Linked DNA regions of Nothobranchius furzeri. The protein of the gene in region 1 purifies or fractionates together with the protein of each later gene. This does not show direct contact. Links are inferred from orthologs where the notes say so. Each region holds a gene or a part of one and is shown in the gene's direction. Other genes may lie near its edges.

Region 1 (3,755 bases):
GGTTCCTATGGACATCAAAAAGAAGGATTAGGTTCTAATTTTCTGGTTTAACAAAAGCAAGGAAATAAGATCATGATGTTAGAAAAACATATTTAGCTTTTTACGTTACAGAAATCAAGTTTGTGAAAACTTGATGAAAGAAAAAAGTTCAGTCTGAAATGCTAAACTTATAACTTTGTTGCAAAGCTACAGAATTGCATTTAATTTTTTAAACACTATCCTCCATTTACAAAAAGCAACAAAGTCAACAATGTTAAAGGTGAAACAATTTTAGTAAGCTTGTTAAACGGTGCTTATTGAGTGACAGTAAAATAAAATGCAGATTTGGATTTACGTTTATCATTTTGTGTCACATCATTGCAAAGTAAATGTTATGAAAGATTTTAAGACTTTAAAGTGACTTTCTTTTATTTTCCGTTATGTGACTTTTCAGCTTTTCGATTTATGGAGAAGAGGACAGCTATGGTTGCACCCTTTTCTGTAAAACCACATCCTTTTTTATATTGTTCATCAAAACATTAAACACGTTGCTCTTTAGTCTGCATTAGATGCATTGATGTACTCGAAGTTGCTACTAAATTGGGTACTATTATTTTGAATTAAAATGTTTTTATTTTTGATTGATAGTTTGATTGTAATAATCCAACACTGTATTCACAAATGCAGATTTTTATTTATGATTATTACAAAATGTACTAACTGGAATAATAACATAAGTGCATTTACAAAGTCCCTGAAACTGGTCAAGAATTAGTCAGTCATTTCTTTTGTCCACAGTTTGAAATATTTAATCTAAAATATTCAAATGTTCAATTTAAACACAAAGGCTATTCAGATTTGTTTTATGTTTTTATAACATTTATTTTTGTGCTTATTTTTCCCCAAATTTTTTTAACATTGAAGTTTATAATTTTATAAATTTTTGTTGTTCAAACTCCGTTCAATCTGTGCAGTTTTCAGGTAAAAAAAAAATTCACACATGATGAAGACTGTTTTGTCTATAAAGTTGTTAATAAAGTTTGTTTAAAAAAAGTCAACAGTGACGTAATCCTTGCTCTTACGCACGACGTAAGATGCTGGAATTGATTGTAGGCTAGTGTTAGCCGTGTAGCTGGTTTGCCAACAAGAAAGAAAATGGACTCGCCTATCCTGGTAATATCTAATTTATTTTTTCATGACGGCATAATGTTAGTGAAGCGTTTAACCTCGTAGTGTAAACATTTTTTTAAATTGTCTTCATAATTTAGGCGAAATGCTGCTTATTTAGCATCCTCCCGAGTTAACTTGACAGAGAGCTAACTACAGTGTTAGCTAACTAGTTAGCGTCGAGGAAGTATGTGTCCGTTTGTTGCTGATGTGGAAGTGTCATGTCCTCCACCTGACATGAACAAGAATACCGTCATGACAACATTTTTACAACCGTTTTTGATACATGTCTTAAGACTAAACGATCCTATTATGGCCTAATCACGGCCATTTTTCTTAAACTATCCTTCTTACTACAAACCTTAATTTCTAGTCCTTTATGTTTGTTTAAACACAACGCACTGTACTGCTGTCTTCACAGGAACCCTCTTTGTATACGGTCAAAGCTGTTCTGATTCTGGACAATGACGGAGACAGGCTTTATGCCAAGGTATGACTTTAATCCTGATTCATCTTTTTTACTTTAAATATTTTCTTCAAACACGCAAAGTCTGATTTAATGTCAATATTACAGCTTTTCACTTGGATTAGATCCCCCCAAAAGCAATAAGTTAATTATTCAACACACCTGATACATTTTCATAAATTTTTCATGACCTATTTAATAATAATAGATTTGAGCTGTACACAAACAGTTTTTAGATGTATTTGAAGGTGGTGATTGCAAAGCACTAAAAAAAAACACAGGAGTCTTTTGTGTAATTAGATAGAGAAATTTAATTAGACAAATTACAGGCGTTATTCCTTGGTCTGTTGGTCTGTTTAAAATTTAAGGTGTTCCTGATTTATATGGTTAACTATTTTAATTTTAATTTAATGTATTCATTTTTAAAATGTATCTTATTTACTTTTTATTGCTAAAAATGGTCAAAGCTGATGGCTCCTACCCCCACACCTTAAAGTTTTGTTTAAAAACAAGTTTATTTTTACTGACTCAGTATAATTCACATTATTCAATCCTTGTAATTTTATATCATAATTTTAAATATTGTTAATCATAGAAGCAAAGTTTTAAATGTAAAACTATGTTACTAGGTTTTAAATATGTTTGCTTCCGTAGTAGAAACCGTTTGGCTAACCCCGGCTTTCCACGGGAGCCGTCAGCAGCACGTTACTGCAGCAGCACGTCATAGCTGCTGATAGGAACCGCTGTGGTCAACAGAACCTTTTCCACCGGAGCCGCCGGCAGCCGTCAGCAGCGCGAGTCGGCCGCGTCTCAGGAGCAGCATGTCGCGGCCTTTACGCGCCGGTTCTATTTTCTACGCGCGACGCCTCTGAAACGGGTCAAGTTCGACATTTTTGGGGAAGGAAAGACAGGAAATCGAACGCGGAAATGGGGAGAAGCTCTCGAGATTTTCAGAATAAAGAACGTACTGCCTTCCGGTTGCTTTACTTTTAAAAACAGTTACTAACTGTGCGTCCCCGTGAGAAGTTATCACACAGCTAGTGGTCTCCTTTGTTTTTCAGGTCCGTATTGGCGATTATAAAACGGACAGAACATAAAACACAAACCATGTTGTAGTTTTCTCCTGCTTGTTGTTGTGTTTACTGACGAAGTCACTCGTGTGACTTCGTGCTCGGTCGGTGACAGCTGCTCCCCTGCTGCTTCGCGTCTCGTGGGAAGGGCCAAGCAGCAGCTTACGCGAGCAAGACGTGCTGCTGCAGTAACGTGCTGCTGACGGCTCCCGTGGAAACCCGGGGTTAGTGTCACAGAATCGATAGGGAAGTCAGACCTTTTAGAAACTTAATGTTTCCTATTTTAATGAAGAATATTTTACGTACCACATTATTTATATACTTTAATGTAAAATAATAGATTTATTTGAATTGTTTTAAAATGTACTTTTCTTCTTGGTGTGTCTGCAGTATTATGACGACACATATCCGACGGTGAAGGAGCAAAAGGCGTTTGAGAAGAACATATTCAACAAAACACACAGAACAGACAGTAAGCTAAGCATATTAAAGGTAATTGGTTTGCTTCAGTACATGACTAAAATGTGATGGTATTATTTGTTTGTTTGTAGGTGAGATTGCATTACTGGAAGGCCTAACTGTTGTCTACAAGAGCAATATAGATCTCTTCTTTTATGTCATCGGAAGTTCACATGAAAATGAGGTAAAACTGAAAGAACTTTCATGAAAAGTCAGCCTTTTCTTAATTATAGCAGATAAAACAGTCACATTTTAACTGCTAATATTTTCACATAATTACTATTTGTTGAAATTTGTTCTTTTTCAATAGCTTATGCTCATGGCTGTTCTAAACTGCCTATTTGATTCCCTCAGTCAGATGTTGAGGTATGTCTTGGTAGCAGTTTAGCACAAAATGTCAAATGTTTATAAACCATTAATCTCTCAGATTGGGATTGAGTTATTTCTCTTTAATTTTACAGAAAAAATGTTGAGAGGAGAGCTCTGTTGGAGAATATGGAGGGACTCTTCTTGGCTGTGGATGAAATAGTGGATGGGGGGTGAGTTTGAACCACCAATGATCTTTAACTAAAAACTTTTTCTTTATACTTACTGTGGTGTTTTGGGTTACTTAC
Region 2 (3,755 bases), on another chromosome or scaffold:
TGAACCCCCAATAAATCCTTAATAATAATACATTCATTCAAACTTTATTTCAGACAAGGGATATGTCCTTAACAAGAATAAAAAAAGAAGTAAAAAACACATTCAAATTAAAAACCATATAGTTGTTCCAATGTTTAAAAAGGACTGAGGAGTACCTCGTGTCACTGTAAGTTAAAGATGACAGTGCTCTAACAACAGCGTTAGCTGACAAACTCAGTCGGCAGATGAATTTATACATGAAGAGCCTCAGAAGCGCATGAAAAGTAGGGATGTTATAACAAACATATGACTTGCCGAAGTCCATCTAGGGAGCTTCATGAGGATTCTAAAAGCATCCTGATAAGCCACTTGAAGCTTCTTCATTACTACCTTACTATAGCTGCACCACAAGTGGGCTGCATAGAAAGGAGTACAAAAGGAACGAAAGAGGGACACTTTAACAGGATCTGAGCACATACCAAAGTTACGTGCCAGAGTGTTAGCCTGCATGTACAACTTACCGCATTGCCTCTTAATATCCTCGTCATCACAGAGGTCACTTCTTAAAATGTGCCCCAAGTATTTTACTTTGCTTACCACTTTGAGGACCTGATTTGTTAAGTTAAAAGATGGAAAATTAAGCTTCAGGTCCCCTTTAGTAGCAGCAATCATAACCACACTCTTTAAACAGTATGTCAAATTGCTCACCATACTTAGCACATGCCCTGAGCAGCTGCTGCAGGCCTGCGCTATAGGGAGACATGAGGACTAGGTCATCTGCATATATTAAATGATTTACAAGGCAGTCACCCACCAAGCATCCAGTCTTGCTATCATTCAAAGTAACAGTAATTAAATGTGTTAATATAACGGCCACATTTGTCAATATACATATCCACGTGAAAAATCAATACAGAATATAGATCTAAAACCAGCAAACATAAATGTATTAAATATATTTTCGGACATATATATATATTTATACCCACCCAATATGGCGGTGACGCTGTTAAGCTCTCTGGCGCCTAATGTCGGATCTACATAAAAAGTCGGGGAGGACGGGAGGACTCATGAAAAATCTCAGTTTTCTTTTTTTTTTAAATTTATAATTCGCAATAACGGGTTTACCATTGTCATTTATATAACCGAATTATATCAGCTTTATAAGTTTGAACTCAATTTTCATTGGGACTTCCCAAGATCGCCTGTTGGTGCAGTTCGATGAGATCTATTTCTATTCGCCGCTGCCGTGGAGCTTTCTGCGTCAGAGGAAAACTTTATTGTCCATAACCGGAAGACAGAAGCGGACTACGTGTCAGGAAAAAGAAATCGGCTAAACAGGCGAAGGAGTCCAGGCCGTCCCTGTCATTTACACTGAATTTTTTTTTTTGTTCTCATTGATTACTTTTGTTTTAACCATAGTTTTAATATTAGGGTTTGAAGGGCTTAAACGGTGAGAATGTTAACTAAATTTGAAACGAAGTCGGCCCGAGTCAAAGGTAAGAGTTTGCCAACAACTAATAGCACATAAGCTAACATCGCTAGCTGGCGTGAACCTGATCAATTAATGTATTCTATAAAAGGAGATGGTTTTTAAAACATATTTTGCTGTTGTTATTTAAGTATTTACATACATTCGTCATACGTTCAATTTTCTGTATGATTAGCATTTTGCGGTTGCGCTCACATATGTTTGGGGTAGCTATCGTTAACGTATTTTGGGTTCCCAGCTCTTAAAGTGTGTTATTATATTTAATCCAGCATATGTTACATTTCAGGCCTGAGTTTCCATCCCAAAAGGCCATGGGTTCTTGCAAGTTTGCACAACGGTGTGATCCAGCTGTGGGACTATCGGATGTGCACACTGATCGACAAATTTGATGAACATGACGGTGAGACGGTGACGTGGCTATCGTGTTTGTTGATATTACGCACCTTTTTATAAATAAATAATTGTGGTTTTACCTGCAGGCCCCGTCCGAGGAATTGATTTCCATAAACAGCAGCCCCTGTTTGTGTCTGGAGGAGATGACTATAAAATCAAGGTAAGACTGCTATTAAAACTGGAATTATAGGAAATATGTTTGGGTTAGATTGTGGATTAGTGTTTGTGATACTTAAAACTTTGTCACCTTTTAGGTTTTTGTGTTTAATAAGTGAATTTGTTTGAACCAGGTGTGGAACTACAAGCTGAGGCGCTGCCTCTTTACTCTTCTCGGACACCTGGACTACATTAGAACAACATTCTTTCATCATGTGAGTTGGACTGTCACACTTTGTCCTAAAATGTATCTTTGGTGACTTGATGTATTGTTAATAGCTTTATTCAAGTCTCTTAACACCTTGGATATGTATCTAGAGTTCTGATCCTGATTTTTAATATAAACATAAACAGAACAACAGTAAAGAGATTGATACAACTTGAGTCAGCTTTGCATTTGGGTTTTAATAAATGACCTTGCTTAAATTTGTGAAGGTTCATAAAGTTTTTTTATGTTTGCGATGGTTGTATGTTGGCTTTTTTCATGAAATACTCACTTTACCTGTAGGAATACCCCTGGATTCTGAGTGCCTCTGATGATCAGACAATCCGCATCTGGAACTGGCAGTCCAGGACGTGTGTATGGTAAGACAGTTGGTGCACTTTATTATTTTACTAATCGTCGAGTCATAGTTTAGCTATTTGATTCGATACAGGGAAGAGTGTGGGTTCAAATACTCAGTAAATTGCTTTTGAGCTCTTTTCAGACATTAGAATTTTTATACTATAGGTCTGTTCTAGTTTTTGACTCGCAGCTTTCACTGCCCTGCAAACATTAAAGTTAGATTTTTCTTTCCCCCTCCCTTTTTGTGTCACCCAGTGTACTCACAGGACACAATCACTACGTGATGTGTGCCCAGTTCCACCCATCTGAAGACCTGGTGGTGTCTGCCAGTCTGGACCAGACCGTGCGAGTGTGGGATATCTCCGGTGAGGGCCTGGGATGAAAGGACCAGAGTGGACAGTGGGCTGGGTTTGGGTGAAGGGGTTGAGTACAGAGTGGAAGGAGGCAGAAACAGGACTAATACAAGTCCTTTACCTCTTCTTTCTCTCCAGCTCCTAGATGACAATTCTCTGTGGGCTCTTTGCAGAAACACCTCTCCTTTCAGGACCGAGACATTTATGTTGTTGCATTTAGGGATAACGTTGCATGGTGGCCTGGAGAAGATCTAGTGTAGTGTAAAATGGTCCAGTGAAATTGGAGAAGTGTTTCTGTATCTCTGCATGGTTTTAACACTTTTAATGTGTTTCCTTCTTTCTTTCTTTTTTACCCAAACTGAACAATTTCTTTGCTCTCATCTTCTTTAATTTTTAAACATGGAAAATGTGCATTTTTTTATTTATCTTGTGACCTCACTTGTGCTGGATTTGTGCTTTATATAATGTTAATATATTGAGCTTGATTGCATCCATTGCTGCATTATAAATGCTAAACTGCATGCTGTAACAATTCTCCTCGGTAGGTCTTCATGCTGATTTTGCTTTGAGAGATCACATTCAGTGGAAGGCCCCTGTTGTTTTGTCTCTCAAGTTCAATACGTTTTTAAAACTGAACAGTTACTAAAGTGGTGCAGTTGTTAGCACTGTTGCCTCGCAGCACGAAGGTTGCAGGTTCAAAACTCGCCTGCGGCCTTTCTGCGTGGAGTTGCATGTTCTCCCCATGCATGTGTGGGTTTCCTCCGGGTACTCCGGTTTCCCCCACAGATCACAACATGCCCTATAGGTTATAAATTGT

Evidence for each region. The genes of interacting proteins can lie anywhere in the genome.
Region 2: the proteins of copz1 (region 1) and copa fractionate together in Homo sapiens (co-fractionation; 6 studies listed by BioGRID and IntAct, with this or other methods). This does not show direct contact. The link is inferred for Nothobranchius furzeri from reciprocal best matches to the Homo sapiens genes COPZ1 and COPA.

Annotation. Positions count from the first base shown.
Region 1 is NC_091755.1:25,755,054-25,758,808, reverse strand, and holds the start of copz1 (coatomer subunit zeta-1), read left to right. Parts: upstream 1-1,021; 5' UTR 1,022-1,134; coding exon 1,135-1,152; intron 1,153-1,567; coding exon 1,568-1,636; intron 1,637-3,072; coding exon 3,073-3,154; intron 3,155-3,233; coding exon 3,234-3,325; intron 3,326-3,451; coding exon 3,452-3,507; intron 3,508-3,602; coding exon 3,603-3,680; intron 3,681-3,755. UniProt on the Homo sapiens protein: The coatomer is a cytosolic protein complex that binds to dilysine motifs and reversibly associates with Golgi non-clathrin-coated vesicles, which further mediate biosynthetic protein transport from the ER, via the Golgi up to the trans Golgi network.
Region 2 is NC_091751.1:41,093,008-41,096,762, reverse strand, and holds the start of copa (coatomer subunit alpha), read left to right. Parts: upstream 1-1,282; 5' UTR 1,283-1,438; coding exon 1,439-1,478; intron 1,479-1,757; coding exon 1,758-1,871; intron 1,872-1,950; coding exon 1,951-2,024; intron 2,025-2,154; coding exon 2,155-2,235; intron 2,236-2,528; coding exon 2,529-2,605; intron 2,606-2,840; coding exon 2,841-2,950; intron 2,951-3,755. UniProt on the Homo sapiens protein: The coatomer is a cytosolic protein complex that binds to dilysine motifs and reversibly associates with Golgi non-clathrin-coated vesicles, which further mediate biosynthetic protein transport from the ER, via the Golgi up to the trans Golgi network.